Oryzias latipes: one gene and its partner. The protein of the gene in region 1 binds, or shares a complex with, the protein of each later gene. Links are inferred from orthologs where the notes say so. Each region holds a gene or a part of one and is shown in the gene's direction. Other genes may lie near its edges.

Region 1 (7,453 bases):
ACTAAAGCAAACCTTAATATGAAATGTCAAACAGGGATGCTTGCTAGCACAGCTGTAACTTTCCGTGTAGCAAGATTTTAAGTTTTTATTCTGAATATAAAAAATGCTTTGTTATAGTAATTTAAAGAAAAACGTTTTTTCTCAAAGTTGCAGAATTTAATTTTTAAAACAATCTTCTGGTTATAAATATTAGAAATGGACCGATGGGATTTTTGGGCTCATCTCAGTCCCTGTAAATAAACGTAATCAAAGAGCGTCCATTACAAACATGAATCATTATCAGAGCATAAATCGGGCTGTTATAATGACGAAATGGACCAGAACTTTAGTTTAAAAAGACAACTAACTTTATTATTGGGGACATTTCATATTCATAAAGGAAATGATCAAACCCCAAACCTAATACACTTAACCAATGCAATATGGTAACATCAATCAAATGACAACAAAACTGGCTGCTTCGACTCATTTCATTGTTAAAAAGGTACTTAAAAAAACAACATCTCTGTGGCTCCTTGTTAATTTTTGTTTTGTCATGTGATGCACTATGGCTCTACATAAATTCTGTGAATTTGAATTTTTTTCTGTCTTTCTTTCCCCTATGCATTCACACGTTTGTTGTACATTATGGAAGCGATTTTGTAGCATAATTAAAAATGAAAGTCAAAACCAGAAATGCTTTTTCATTTTCAAAATGTAACTGCATGTTTTGACTCAAAATTAAAATGAAAAAGCAATCCTTCAAAATGCTTTTTCCTTTTCTTCTTCAACACCGCTTTTTCTGTCACTTAATTAAAATGATAATGTAAATGGTATTTGACATCTCATTTTCAAAAGGTTCTCTGGTAAATGTGTAGCAAAATTCATTTAGAAATGTCTAATTTGAGAATTAAAATGGATTAACAGAAATGCTTTTTCATTTTCATAATGTAACTGCATCAAATGACTCCAAATTAAAATGAAAATTCAATACTTCAAAATGCTTTTTCATTTTCTACTTAAAAACCGGTTATTCTGTGTCGTAATTAAAACGAAAATGCAAAGAGGGGATTGCATTTTCATTTTAACATCCACCCTGCGAATACTGTCGCATAATTCAATTCGACTTAGCATTTCCAGAGGGGAGGCGGGGCGATGACGTCACTGCTTTCTCCGTGTGTCCGGCTGCTAAGAGACACATGCTAGGAGCAGTGCGGCCAGGCTTGTAGCTTTGTGTTACCGACAGAGAAGAGGGCTTTGTGACGGTTGTGCACTCCTGATGATTGTACACAAATGATTAGTGCAAGGGTAGTTAATATGAGCCACTGCCTTTAAACCTCTTCAACCTTTCATAGTCATCAGTTGGGATCTTTTTTGCAGTCAGTGGCCCTCCTATTGCAGCTCTCATTTCAGTTGGATAAGGGTGACTTTGTTATTACAATGACTTTTTACAGTATTGCAATTAAACGCTTTTTTACATTAATTTTTGTTTTTTGACTAAGCTAAAACCACTTTCAGTCCTAACTGTAAATATCTGAGATTTCACAATTAAGCCTGAAGTTATGTGTAACCTCAGTCTGCTTTGTCTTTCTGTTCACTCTTTACATTTTTCAGGAATCATGAAGCTAAGGAGGCTAACATTGTACACATTGTGACCAGCGGGTTGAAGCTTCATTATGCCGCCCTTCACTTTCTGGTAAACAACAAGGCTTCCAGCTCTCATCATGGCCTCCAGCTACCCACCCCCCTTCGAGGGCACAGGTGAAGTAAAAGAGGGCTTCCTTTGCCCATTGTGCCTGAAGGACCTGCAGTCTTTCTACCAACTCCAAGGCCACTATGAGGAGGAGCACTCAGGGGATGACCGGCATGTCCGAGGCCAGCTCAAAAGTAAGGGTCGAGTCAGAATTCAGCTTCAGAAAAAAAGAAAAAACGTAATAAAATTCCCTTTTTTGCAATATGACAATCCAGCTAATAAGCTTAAATGTAGCTGTTTGGAGTTGGTGTTTCTTTCTATCTAACATTTGAAAAAATCCAGCTTTCCTTAACAATTGTCATACTTTAAAAAAAAAAAGATATCTTATGTGAATTTACAATATTTTGTTACCTTTCTGTGTGATTCAGGTTTGGTTCAGAAGGCAAAAAAAGCCAAAGATAAACTTTTAAAGAGAGATGGAGAGGACAGGCTCGACACGGGCAGTTATGAGTCTTTCTACTATGGTGGAGTGGATCCTTATATGTGGGAGCCTCAGGAACTGGGTAAGAAAGTATTAATATCAGAGCAGCACATGTATTTTTCGTGTTTTTTATTTGTTGGAATTGTTTTTGTTTACTCTAATAGGAGCAACAAGAAGTCACCTGGATATCTTTAAGAAACATCGTGCTGCCAGAATAGATCACTATGTCATTGAAGTCAACAAGCTCATCATTAGACTGGAGAAGGTACGCCCTCAAAAGCATCATTCTCCTTATGGCTGGGACATTTGATCTAACTTTCCGATTTGATGTTTCAGTTGACGTCATTTGACAGAGTCAACTCCGACTCGGCTAAGATCAGAGGTGTGTTACTATTTGCTTATTGGTTCTTTGGTCTAAACATTAAGAATGAAATCTTTTTGAGTTCTGAGTTTTTATTCTTCTCTGTAGCGATCGAGAAGTCCGTGGTGTCTTGGGTAAATGACTCTGATGTCCCGTTCTGCCCCGACTGCGGAAACAAGTTCAACATCCGCAACAGGCGGCACCACTGTCGCCTCTGTGGCTCCATCATGTGCCGAAGATGCATGGAGTTCGTCCCCCTACCTTTGGCCCGTATGCATCAAAATGCCTCAGAAGTACAGACTTCTGCACTCAGGTGGGATCAGAGGTGTCTCATTTCCAGATGTCTTTCATCTTGTTACAGAGAAGCTCATTTACGGGACTCGGGAGGCTCTGTGTGTCCCTGGAAGTCCCGGCCAGACCCAGACTCTCCCTGCTGGAGGTGGCAGCAGTGGTATGGGCTCGCGCAGAGGCAGTATCAGCAGCTTGAGCAGTGTTACCTCAATGCTGGAGGAAAAGGATGACGAGAAGATCCGCTGCTGTCACCACTGTATGGACACGCTGCTGAAGAAACAGCAAAAGTTAGACGAGAAGGACAACATTCCAGACATAGTGAAACTTTATGAGGTTAGTTTGATTATTATGGGTTAAAACCATTGTGTTTTGATCTTTCTTTCATCTTTTGTCATGGGGTGGGAGTTGCTTATAATAAAGTCTTTTTTTCTGACAGAGGTTGATGATGTGCATGGTGAAGGTGGATGAAAAAGCTCCTGACTATATTCGAATGGCTGAATCTCTAAAGTAAGCAGGATTCAAAAGTTCCTACAGTTTTGTGTACAAGTTTTTTTTTTCTTTTCTAACTAGTGTAGAAATATTCATAATACCATACTGGGTACTTGTAATTAGTGAGTGTAACCTCAGATAAAGATCAGCAATAACTATTTTGGATTGTGCATTAAAATGATGAACCCAGACAAAGTTGCCTAGTTCTGCCAGGTCTCTGCTCTTCATAACTACTTAGAGTTTTTAGCATCCCAGCTCCCTCTCTCAAAACCAGTGAAGGAAAGATTATAAATGCAGAACTCTGCAACCTTGAAGTCATTAAATTCTGTATTCCCTTGTACGTTCACACAAATGTGAACTCTCTGACAGCAAATAACATTTTCAAAGTCATGCAATTGTCAACTGAAGTGAAGCACAATAGCAAATCTTCATCCCAGAGAATGGAAAAGTTTTGTTTGCCTCTGTCAGAGTCCTCCGCAGCATTTGCCGTTTGCAGATTCCCAAAAGCAGAAGTTTCTTTTAAACACCTGCTTCCCCGGAGAGTACCATAGCTCACCCAATGTTGTCATCATCTCTTGATCTATGCTAAAAGCGTATTCAGTGGTCTTTTAATTATGATTCTGCCATTTAGGCAAAATAAAAAAAAACTGTCGTTTTCTAGGACTTAATTTCTGCAGAGCGGTAGTAATTAGTCCATTAGAAATTTACCGCTGAGTTTTGGGCAAGACTGTTGGTACGGAGCAACCCCACACCCACTACCCATCACCCATAACTGAGAGTTCTGTATTTACACGCTCTCCCACTAACTTAGAACCCATCACAGCCACAACAAAAATGGCGAGCAATATTGAAGCCATCCAGCCGTACAGTTTCGGGCCGGATGGCAGCTCAGAGGAGGAAAACATAGAGGTACACGGATCTAGTCGTCTACAAGTGCATCAGAAAGGACCAGAGCAGGGAGCTTGTAACCCGCCCAGGATATTTTCTGTCACAAATACGCCCTTTTTTTTGTCTGCTACAGATTCACAACAATTTGAATAAAACAATAATCACAAATGCTATTTTAAGCTTCATTTTACTAATATATGTTCTCCATCATAAGACAAAATGATACAAAAACACAGTAAAAACACACATTTTATAGGAGTGGGGCTTTAAACAAACTAAACCACAACCAAAAATCATTGTTGTTCAGACGTTTTGGATTTTTTAACCCTTGTGCTATCTTAGATGACCCCACCCTTACATTGACGTGTTCTCCCTACCATGACAAAGTTGGAAAGATTTCATGTAATCCATGGACACCAGTGAAGATCACAAATCATTGAAGAAAAAAGGTTCAGAGCACTGTCTAGTGGGTCTAGATGACCCAACTCCCAATGTTAAAGTGCCTAGGATAGCACAAGGGTTAAAAAAAATGACATATTTGTGTACAGGTACGTGACTTTGCATTTAACACATATTCTGACTTTTTAACTTTTAAAGCGCCGGAGAAACCACGTACAACCTGGACACTGCTGGTGGACTAAGACTGGAGGTGCAGAAATACTACGAATTAATCGATGCTCTGAGGTATGTGTCAGTCTGAAAGGATGCCTCCATTGTGGAGCACAAATGTTTGTTTTTTCTGTGTGTGTGTTTATTTGAGCTCTTTTTATTGTCAGTAAGAAGATTTTAACACTTGGGCTTAAAGATGAACCCCCACCCCACCCAAAGGCGCTACAGCTGCAGAAGATGATCCGCTACTCTGCTACACTCTTTGTCCAGGTGATTACATCTTTGAGCTAAACCTAGTGAGACACAACATTTGACCAAAAAGTCTTTTAGGATATTACAAAAACCAGTTGCTTTAGAACAACATTTTCAGAATAAACATCCTGTAGTCTTGATTTGGCTGTTTTGTTTTTCCTCTTTTAGGAGAAACTGTTGGGACTGATGTCTTTACCCACTAAGGAGAAATATGAAGAGCTGAAAAAAAAGAGGAAACAAGAACAGGAGCGGAGACTCCAGCAAGAGAGACTGGTGAGATCCAGTAACAGCTCCTGATTTTTATGCATGTTTCCTGCTGCTGAATGAAGCTCCTTAAAATCTCTCATGTGCTGAACAGGCTGCCCAGGAGGCTCTGAAGAGGAGGCAGGAGGCTGAAAAAATCTGTTCTCCTGCTAATGGCGAGCTGCCTCAGGCCCGGAGAGCCCAACGCATGACCAAAGCCAGCGGTTGGTTGCCCTCCGCAGAGTCCGTCCATTCACGGAGCGAGCTGGAAGACCCCCTTCTGCAACAGATCCAGAACATTCAGTCGTTCCTTCGTCAGGCACGCGAGGCCCAGAAAGCCGACGAGGTAGCCATGTTGGAGGAGAACCTGCGTCAGCTGCAAGACGAATATGACCAGCAGCAGACCTGCATTGCCATCGTGCTCTCAGAGAAGCTGGCAAAAGAGGAAAGCTTGCAGCAAGGGGAGCTCCAGCGCCTTGAGGCCCAGGAAATGGAAGATAGGAGGCATTGGGGTTCCACTGTCAGCTCCACCCAGCCCTCCATCAACTGGGAGCCCTCTTTGGATATCAGCCAGGCGGGAGGCTGGAAGGAAGACGAGGGCACGGCAGACGATATCTTAACTCCTATAGCTGAAACAAGTGCCCTTGCTGTCACAGAGCTGCTAACCCTAACATCCCAAGAGGACTCCCCACCCAGACTGAGGAGCCTGGGAGGTCATATAACTCCCCCTGGTGGAGAAACCAAAAGCAGCAGCCCTTTAAACCCATTTGAAGAAGAGGAGCTTACTCCCACTGAGGAGGACTCTTCTAACCCCTTCTTTGAGGACATCAAGAGGGAGCGCAGTGGGGTAACAAATGGTAAGAACGAATACAACCCGTTCGAAGAAGATGCAGATTCAGAGGAGGCGAAACAGCCTGACACTGCTCTGGGGAACCCTTTTGAGGAGGACAACGCAGATGGGAATAATCCTTTCATGGAGGCTCCTGGGAATTCGCCCGACGTCTCCACCAACCCTTTTGATGGGGAGGACGACGACGACTTGCCTGACGTGGACATGATAGAAGAAGAGCTGTTGCTGCAGCAGATCGACAATATTAGGGCCTACATCTTCGACGCAAAGCTCAACGGCCGTCTGGACGAAGTCGAGCTCCTGTCGGAAAACTTGAGAGAGCTGCAGCGCACCCTGCAGGAGCAGAAGAAAAAGAAGCACTGACTCTCAAACACCTGCTTCAAACCAAGTCACTATAGATGAGTCATTAACCCACTAACGTTACTTTGGATTAGGTTTATCAAATACACAGAGAAATTCTCTTAATTCAATTACATTAGAGTACAAATGGTTTCCTGAGCTGGAATCTGCTCCAGCGTGCACATGGTTTAGCACTGAAAGGTAACGCTCATTTGTACAGGCATGCTAAAAACACAAACATCTGAATTAAGGTCAAATCCAGAAGCCAGTCTGAGTTTAATCTGTGTTCTCTTCAAGAATTATTAAGGTTTGATTTAAATCTTTTGCAACAAAAAAAAAAAACTTTAACGATAGAAACTTTAGCAAAGCGTTTTTTTTTTTTTTATAAGAGCTTTCCTCCAGTTGAAGGATTAATTGCACTTTGGAAAACACTTTTGGATCAAAGATGAACACTTTTGAAGTTTTAGTAAGTACTAAAAAATTTCCACAATGTTAACCAACTGCAACTTCCATAACTATTTACACTACAATGTGATTATCACTAGAACAAAGTATTTGCTAACTAGGTAATAAATATGTGAACAAAGTTTTGTTTTTGAATAAAGCTCTGATCAAAATGTAGGTGTTCATGTTCAAAGTGGATTCAAACACTTGACTTCAGCACTCAGCCCCGCCCCCTAAGAGAAATTCCAATGAATGTAACTTTGGCGTCACGTGTAATTTCTTTTCTCTTTTTTTTGATAAATACAACTAAATTTAAAAACTTAAAAACCTTGATGGCTAACATGAAGAGACTAAAAGGTTTAAATGGATTCATTTTGGATTTGTTTCCATCATTTAAAGTCTCGTTTGTAAGCATAAAAATGCATGTGATTCCACTGAGAGCCAAGAAACTGTTGGTGTTTGTGCAAGCACACAGGTCTGCAAATGGCCATCACATTTTTAAGTGTCTTAAAGTAGTCCTCTTGGTTTTTTTTA
Region 2 (8,744 bases), on another chromosome or scaffold:
CTTTTATAGTAATCTTGGAATTGACCTGGGATAAGAGCAACAGGGTAGGGTCCTGTTCTGGTTAGTTCTGGAGCAAGAACTTTGAACCTTCCCTGGGGCACCTGAATAACCTGAGACAAAAAGCAGAGGACAAAAAGGAGTTGCATCAGTCAAAAGCTCAACCAACGTTGCACTGATGCAGATTTATTAAACCATCTGCCATTAGACTTACGTGAGTCTGGAGGTCAAAGTAAGCTCTCCTCTCTTCCATTCGCTCCCTGTTGAAGATGCTGTTAAACTCAGCAGCTTTTTTTGCAGCTTTCTTTATGTACTCAGGAACCTTGCTTGCCTCCACTTTCTGAGGGTTCTGCTGCTGCATTTGCTGCAAAAGCACAAGAGAGTACAACTATTTGTTCGTGCGTTTCGACAATTTCTAATAAAAACTAAAGGTTGTTCTAGTCTGGTGTTCTTACAGAGTACTCCTTAGCTATTCTCTGACGCTCCTTTTCCTGCAATATCACAGAGTACTCAGAGTGTTTGGTTGGATACTCCTTTATCATCAAGTCGATCACTTCATCGCTCCGCAAAGCTGTCAATCCTGCATATAAATACAACAGCACTACATTATGTAAGAAATATAAATAAATGTATGAAGTCTGTGCATTAACAAAGAGTTTTAGGGTTGGCTCGTACCCAGGGTGCACTGCGTCTCAGTGATAACATTTTGCTCACGTAGGTAGAGCTTTTCTTTGTGAGACAGGTCTCTCCTCTCCATATCTGCACAAGAATGTTAAAAAAAATTCCCTGGTCAAAACATAATTTGGGCAGTTGCTAAATCAACCGCACTTAAACATTTCCTTTCCTGATCATTTTGTGAATTATTGTTCAATTCTTACCAGGATATTTGCGTTTGAATGACGTGACACCCAAATACTCGCTGATTTGTTCTTGCAGCATGTAATATTCTCCTGTATCATCAGGAGGCCATTTATACTCTATTAGGTTTTCTGCTGGGAAATAAGTCACCCTAGATGAGGAGGTGGGGGCAGGAACAACACATTAGATTTATAAGTTGGTATCTGACGCAATTACTTAAGAATAATGGCAAATTGTAATGCAAAAACAAGTAGCCTACCCAAGCTCTTGGCTGAAGGTGTCACAGCTCCGAGAGCTGTCCCCTGAACCCATTCTCCTCCTTTTCGGTGGCTGGCTCCCATCATTAGATACCTCATCAATTACATCTTCCTACAGAAGTGGAAAAAAGATTCACCAACATTTTTTTTCAAACAGATGAACACCAAAATATATAGAATCGAAAAGCTTATTGTACGGAGCCCCTAAAGGGCCATTGATGAAAAAAAAAAAATGGAGGAAAAAATTTTTTTTTTGAAGTAAAAAAAAATTCTCTTGGAGTAAAAAAAATTCTTTTGGAGTAAAAAAAATTTTTTTTGAAGTAAATAGGAAAAAAAAAACTAACTGGTGCCCACCTGAAACTAACTGGTGCGCACCAGTTAGTTAGTTTCAGGTGCACACCAGTTAGTATCAGGTGCGCACCAGTTAGTTTCAGGTGCGCACCAGTTAGTATCAGGTGCGCACCAGTTAGTATCAGGTGCGCACCAGTTAGTATCAGGTGCGCACCAGTTAGTATCAGGTGCGCACCAGTTAGTATCAGGTGCGCACCAGTTAGTATCAGGTGCGCACCAGTTAGTTTCAGGTGCGCACCAGTTAGTATCAGGTGCGCACCAGTTAGTATCAGGTGCGCACCAGTTAGTTTCAGGTGCGCACCAGTTAGTTTCAGGTGCGCACCAGTTAGTATCAGGTGCCCACCAGTTAGTTTCAGGTGCGCACCAGTTAGTATCAGGTGCCCACCAGTTAGTTTCAGCTGCGCACCAATTAGTTTCAGGTGACATTATGACATTGTCAGTAATATTTCGTGTTTTCAGAAAGTTTATAAGGTCCATATCCTCAACTTTAGCCATTCTCAAGACAACTGTAGCTACTTGGTGCACAATGAGCAAGCAGGTCAACTATCTGATATCTTCTGATACTAACTGGTGCGCACCTGAAACTAACTGGTGCGCACCTGATACTAACTGGTGCGCACCTGAAACTAACTGGTGCGCACCAGTTAGTTTTTTTTCCTATTTACTTCAAAAAAAAAATTTTTAGCTCAAAGAATTTTTTTTTACTTCAAAAAAAAAAAATTTCCTCAAGTTTTTTTTTTTTTCATCAATGGCCCTTTAGGGGCTCCGTATTATTGTGAAAATGGGAACATGTGCAAAACTAGTTTGACTAGGATTACACAGGGAAAAAATTAGCAACACTTTATATTTAAATGGCTACACAATCTAGTTTTTTTTTATTTATATATTTTTTCAACGTTGCAAACTAATAGAGAAATACACGAATAATAGGAGCAAATTACTTCAAGAGGAAGTAATTTGAGCACATTTGAAAACAAATGATTTTGCTAAAAGTGGCTGACAGTTGTCCTAGTGAATGGAAACGTCCGTTGGCTAGCTAGCTATCTGTTAGCAAAACATCGTCATGTTTCCCCGTAAACAACAGCTAATGGATATTTATCAAAGTAGAAAAAAATCACCTTCATGGAGTGCGCCCCAGGAGTAGCGGGACTGCTATCACTTGGTGGTCTAATAATAGGGAATAATGTAGCCATTTTAAGATAAATAATGCCCACAGCTAGGCTAATGATTAGCGGGGGAAACTACGTTTCTTCTTCTTTGGACAACCACGGACTCGGTTGACGTTTGTGTAAATTCAGAGCGCCACCTCCTAGATCCTCCAAAAAATATGTTAAAAAGAGAGAATTTGTACACAACATGCAAACCAATTAATTTACATATAGATAAAACTCTCAGCGAAATGGGCTGTTTTTAAAATTTACTTAGAACGGCGAGAATTTATTTTTCATTAATTGAAACCATAAGAACATATCCAAACATCACCCCCACGCGGTAGTTTGAGGACTATGTGGCATAAGTGTCATTTCAGAATGCTTTTATTTTGAAGAAAAAAAACCCACACACACCGTACAGGAAGTTGGAGGAGGAAATCATAGAATCCAAGGAAATCACCAACAGGACTATTTCCATCACTTAGCAAGCTAAACAAATAACAGTTTCGCCTTTCTCTGCCTTGCAGCTTAGCTGACACACCGAGGATGTCGGAGTCTTACGGTAAGGAGGCTGTCTTGCTTTATACCCGTTAGAATCTCACACACAGATGGCAGGAAAGGGATGATGAGGTCCCTTCGTAAACAAATAGCTAGCTGGCAGGCTAACCGAGCCACTGAGGAGTAGGAAGGTTTTGGCCTTTAAACTCAAATGTCAGCGTTAATAAATCTGCCTTCCGGGTACAGGTGTATTAGTAAAGCTTTATAATGCAAGAAGCTGTGACTATAGGAGATGCTATTGTTCCCGGGATAAGCACTAGGACACAAAGCAAGAGACTCCCGCTTTTCTTTTGCAAACGCAAGTGATGATAGGATATCTCTGTGTTTTGTGAGGCATTGCTCAAATTACACTATGCTACAACTGTTCAATCAATTGAACCAACATTAAACATGATAATTATCTTAGTGGGAGTAAAGAATAAATATATATATATAAGGCTTTGTTCGATCTGTTTACGACACATTTGTCTTGATTTGTATAGTGTAGACATCAGATGTGTACATGTCAACAACTGTATCAAAAAAAAATTAAGAATAGTTGAGTTTATTAATAACAAGGCAGCATATTCAAACCCTGTTTGCTTTATCTATGTTACTACTGTGTTCCCTCTGCAGACTTTCTGTTTAAATTCCTAGTGATTGGAAATGCTGGAACAGGCAAATCCTGCCTTCTGCACCAGTTCATAGAAAAGAGATGTAAGTTTGCTTCAGTTGTAATCACTAGAAAAAGCTTTATAATAATGACACAGTAATTGCCCGACTCTTTTATTTAAATATCTTTAAGGTCCCACTCAAAGACAGTCGTTATTTGTGTGTTTTTAACATATTTTTGTGACATTTTGTTCTCATTATAATGGACATTTATGTAAAAATTAAGCCTAAAATTGCATCTCTGAGTATTTCTTTATTCAAATCACTGTGATTCAGGACCAGTTGCTTGTAGATGTGACATAGAAGCTACTATGGCGAGCTACAAGCTCCCTGCTCCGCTTCAATCCGATGCATCCACTTGTAAACAAATAGATCCATGAACGTCTTCATTTTCCTCGTGTGAGCTAACATCTAGCTTAAAACTGTACAGCTGAATAGCTCTAATATTGCTCGCCATTTTTGTTGCACCACTAATGTTGAGGGGGTGTGAGGGGCTGTAAGCTAGAGGAGTGTAAACAAAAGGAAGATGGGAAAGGTCCCAGTCCCGTCCACAACTCAAAGATTCATTTTTTAATAACCTACTGCCGCTCTGCAGATACTATGTCCAACACAACAAGAGTTTGTTTGCTTTTTTCAATTTTGGCTAAAACAGCATAAACATTATTTAAAAACTACTGAAAACGCTTTTACAATAGTTCAAAAGATGATCGGAGTGGGACTTTAAGCAAATCTTGATGAATATTTTTAGTTTGACTCTTATTTTTTAAACAGATTTTAGCAAAGCAGTCACAATCTTTATCAGATTAAAAAAGGGCATTTTATTTTTGTAAACAGTAGGTCATTTTAAGGTGTTGAAAATATATGACTTACATGTGATATTTATGATTTTCCAGTCAAAGATGAGTCCAACCACACAATTGGAGTGGAGTTTGGCTCCAAGATTATTAGTGTGGTGAACAAAATGGTCAAACTTCAGATTTGGGACACTGCAGGTCAAGAACGTTTCAGGTAGCTAAACATCTTTAAAAATTCCTTCTACATTGTGGATGTTGCGTTTTTAGAGATGTCGGCGGTGCACAGCTACAACTTTTTTTTTTCCATTTCTGTCTTAAATTGGCAATAATTACTAAATGGATTTGGTATGCATTTGCTTAAGTGTCAACAATGTTCCCTTTAACCAGTATATGTTTGTCAGGTCCGTCACCAGGAGCTACTACAGAGGAGCAGCAGGAGCTTTGCTGGTCTATGATATCACCAGGTAAGACGAGGTGCGTTATTCTTTTATTATGTATACTTTGACTGCTTAACCATTTGTTTTGTTGTTTTTGTGGCTTCAGTCGAGAAACCTACAACGCCTTAACCACGTGGTTAAGTGATGCTAGGATGCTGGCCAGTCAAAACATTGTAATTATCCTGTGTGGGAACAAAAAGGATCTAGATGCTGACAGAGAGGTCACGTTTCTGGAGGCGTCACGCTTCGCTCAGGAAAATGGTTCGATCTTAAGTTTATAATCCTTAGCTAAAAACTATACAGTTAACTTTCATTATACGTAATTACTCAATGGTTTACTGTTTAGCACTGACTGGCCATTAGTGTGGAATAATCATCAGCGGTTTTCATAGCGGCTGCTCTCATCCTTACTCTGTGTTTGTGGCAGAGTTAATGTTCCTGGAGACCAGCGCTCTCACAGGAGAGAATGTTGAAGAAGCCTTTGTCCAGTGTGCCCGGAAAATCCTGAATAAAATAGAGTCAGGTGAGGAGTTCTAATCTTTGCCCACATTTGTTAAACACAATTTCCAAATCCCTTCTTATCCTAATGGGATAGTCCAAGCTCAGGTGGAGCTCAGGGCTTCAGTGAGCTAGTCTGGAGTGTTGGACCAGCTGGTCCAAAAGTCTGTAGTGGGGATGAAACCTCTGTAGGTTGTTTTCTCTTTATCTCTATTAATCAGCACCATTTCTCTACTCTTAGGAGAGCTAGATCCAGAGAGGATGGGGTCAGGAATCCAATATGGGGACGCTGCGTTACGCCAGCTTCGTTCTCCTCGCCGTGCTCAGCCGCAGGGCACCCAGGAATGTGGCTGCTAGTGGACGTCCTGTTACATAGCCCTTTGAAGGTAAACGTGTTGCTGTGGGATCCCAGAGTGTCTCGGACCTCTGACATTTTTTTTGGAGTTAATTTTCAGGTACGGAAAGGGAGCCGATCGCCTCCTGTGGTTATGACAGTTGTGCTCAGTATAGCACAGAATTACACAGTCAGAGAAAATAGATAAATATTAGGATGAAATTTATGCAAGAAAACCAGGACTGATGACATTTATCTTACTATGTATATCAAATCCTAAAACAGTATTAAAATCTGCACTATGTTTTCATTGACAGCTGTTATCTACTGGATCAGTACAGAGCTGTATTCAGAGAAAAAAAATGGATCGGACCATTTATTGACATGAACTTGGATTTAGGCAACCAGTTACAGTTAGTCTGCAGTTTGTTTTTCTGAAACAATAGTTGTAGGTTATGTTGAATATCAACTTTGCAAAAAGTGTTGATGCACCTCAGTGTAATTCTTCCTGCAATGCTATTTACTATAGTATGTTTGTGTGTCTTTTTCTCCACGTTTGATTTTGTTTTGTTTTTGGAAACAAGTTTGTGAAGACCAGAAGAAGAGCAGCCACATAGAACCTCCACGAATGCAGATGCGGGGGGCTTGCCGTGCCGGTTACTCCACCTTCCTCCAACTTTTGCACGGACCCTTCAGAGCATCTGTTGTCATTTTTGCATGTGCGGAGAGCTGTGAAGACCCCGCCCCCAGCTAAGGAACCCAGAAGACCACACTCATCTTCAAAAACAGAAACATAATTTAAAGCTGGACCAAAATCTCTCTGGCTCTGTGGCGAGAAGGTTTCTCCTCAGACGTAGCTCCCTGCTTGTCACCTGCTCTCCAAGCCTGTTAGACTTTCCTCTATCTATTCATAAAGACGGTTCCTGTCAATCATATTTAAAGTAAAGGTAGTTCAATTCAAGGTAGTTCAATTAAAATAAAAAGTTGACAGTTTTCAAACACATACTTTTGACACTACTAGCACTTGCTATGGTTTGGTGCAAAGTTCATTAAATAAAAGATAATCTCCCTATTTTTAAGCATGAAATAAATCACCCAAATTACTAAAATTCCATTTTTTTCCCAACTAATAGCACTCCTTGTTTATCGCGCACCTGCTCTTCTTTACCCAAGTGAAGCTTCTCACTCCACACTGTGCAGCTATGGAAGCACATTTCATCAGCTAAGCTAACCCTAATTTGTTTATAGTCCTCATCCACTTCCTCTTCTCCCTGCAGAATGTTGTACAGTGCTGCTGTGACCGATGCATGCTTTTCAAGCAAATTATCAGAGTGTTTCATTATATAAAGAGATATTAAGGTGTCAATTAAATAGGTTTTCAGCTCTGCTCATTAAAATGTGGAGCTGTGCCTCACAGGAAAGCTGTGCTAGAACTTTGTATTTTCATGAATTTGGCAGTAACGCATTGCTTTATCAGAAAAAAAGAAAAAAAATAGAGTCCATGAGGGGACAGAATGCTGTCAGCTGTAGAGAGACTAAGAGTTGTATCATGAGATTTATCAGTTGTGCGTTTTGTTTTGTCAAATCTGGTCAAAAACAAAGAATTTTACTTTGGAGATTATATCACTTTACAACTCGTACACTAAACTGTTGCAGGTGCAGACATTTCAAAGGAAACAGACATTTTTCAATGCGAAATGCCTCCAGAGGTGTATCTGAGAGCAGCATAGTTTGTGTCACGTGAGGTTGTCGTCTTGTGTTTGTGTCATGAAGCCTCATTTCTAATGATCTGTGTGTGTGTTTTCTCCTTTCATTATAAATATCATATATTTTTAATTTATTGTGTATGACGAAAAGCTATGTTTTTGAAATAAAAACCAACACAAATGCACTTCTTTTTTGTTTTTTATTGTATTGCCGTTGACCAAGCTGACAGGAAGTCATCTGCAATGATGAAATGCATTCTGTTCCACTATTTAAGAAACAGAATTACTAAAGTGTTTCTTGTTGTACAAGCACAAAAAAAACATGTCGATGTGGAAAAAAATAATATTTATAGGTGCTTCGTTTTTATTTTGGTCTGTTTGCACAATTGTTTTCCTTTTTTACTCATTTTAAAAGTTCATCAAATATTAAAAAGACACTGATATGTAGTTACTGTGAAATATTGCACAACACTAGAAGACACTGAAAATGTATCTACAACATGTAAATATGTGCTGGAAGAATGAAGGTACTTTTGCAACAAACCTTTTTTTTTAAACAGATTTTTGAGCTTTTTTCCTTAAAAACAAACTTTTTTTTAGTTTAACCATTTCACTTCTGTTCCTCTTGTTTTCAGGCTCAAACTGAAGGAGTGTAAACCCTGATTTGTTTGAGAATTGATATTTACAACCGCTATGTGAGAAGAGCTGAATGCGATGAAAAATGTGCACCTTTTTAAACCGTCTATGGTACACAAGATAAGGAATGTTTCAGATTTGCTTCTGTAATCATTTCAAGGTAAAATACAGTTCAGTCAGATACATTTGGTAAACTTGTTTAAAATGCTTTTCAACAGTTAAATAATTAAAAATAAGTTAAAAGTACTCCGTCAGAAGATTGGAATAATGGTACAAATGATCAAAGTGATTTAGTCTCAGGAAAAGTCAATTGTGTTTGCTCTTTTCTAACTTTAGAAAAGCACAGAGTAACCATTAAAACATCATCAACTGTTACCCATAATTCTATCACGTTTATAAAGTATGGGTTGGTGATGTGTTTATGAAGAGAGATTGTGTCTGAATATAGCTTTAAGATTCATTTCAACATCATCCTAATCTTAATCATCTGACGGAATTTCCATTACTTTACTTTAT

The links.
Region 2: the proteins of rbsn (region 1) and rab4a are in contact, whole or in part, in a crystal structure (PDB 1Z0K), measured with the Homo sapiens proteins. The link is inferred for Oryzias latipes from reciprocal best matches to the Homo sapiens genes RBSN and RAB4A. Residues at the interface, in NP_001289307.1 of Homo sapiens: Glu441, Gly442, Trp443, Leu444, Pro445, Ser447, Glu454, Pro458, Leu459, Gln461, Gln462, Asn465, Ile466, Phe469, Asp480, Glu481, Thr484, Leu485, Asn488, Leu492, Glu495, Gln499; in NP_004569.2 of Homo sapiens: Tyr10, Leu30, His31, Ile34, Glu35, Ile46, Gly47, Val48, Glu49, Phe50, Gly51, Ser52, Lys53, Lys63, Gln65, Trp67, Arg74, Phe75, Ser77, Val78, Ser81, Tyr82.

Annotation. Positions count from the first base shown.
Region 1 is NC_019865.2:17,019,987-17,027,439, reverse strand, and holds part of rbsn (rabenosyn-5), read left to right. Parts: intron 1-1,593; 5' UTR 1,594-1,703; coding exon 1,704-1,866; intron 1,867-2,100; coding exon 2,101-2,235; intron 2,236-2,317; coding exon 2,318-2,418; intron 2,419-2,489; coding exon 2,490-2,535; intron 2,536-2,622; coding exon 2,623-2,784; intron 2,785-2,875; coding exon 2,876-3,138; intron 3,139-3,241; coding exon 3,242-3,312; intron 3,313-4,779; coding exon 4,780-4,866; intron 4,867-4,958; coding exon 4,959-5,061; intron 5,062-5,211; coding exon 5,212-5,316; intron 5,317-5,401; coding exon 5,402-6,499; 3' UTR 6,500-7,453. UniProt on the Homo sapiens protein: Rab4/Rab5 effector protein acting in early endocytic membrane fusion and membrane trafficking of recycling endosomes. Required for endosome fusion either homotypically or with clathrin coated vesicles.
Region 2 is NC_019861.2:24,496,001-24,504,744, forward strand, and holds rab4a (ras-related protein Rab-4A), read left to right. Parts: upstream 1-3,026; 5' UTR 3,027-3,160; coding exon 3,161-3,176; intron 3,177-3,787; coding exon 3,788-3,868; intron 3,869-4,716; coding exon 4,717-4,831; intron 4,832-5,018; coding exon 5,019-5,081; intron 5,082-5,160; coding exon 5,161-5,315; intron 5,316-5,481; coding exon 5,482-5,577; intron 5,578-5,793; coding exon 5,794-5,909; 3' UTR 5,910-5,938; intron 5,939-6,470; 3' UTR 6,471-6,483; downstream 6,484-8,744. Other genes in the region: phf10 (PHD finger protein 10), read right to left, coding at 1-110, 212-361, 453-577, 673-756, 876-1,006, 1,115-1,224, 2,582-2,656. UniProt on the Homo sapiens protein: The small GTPases Rab are key regulators of intracellular membrane trafficking, from the formation of transport vesicles to their fusion with membranes.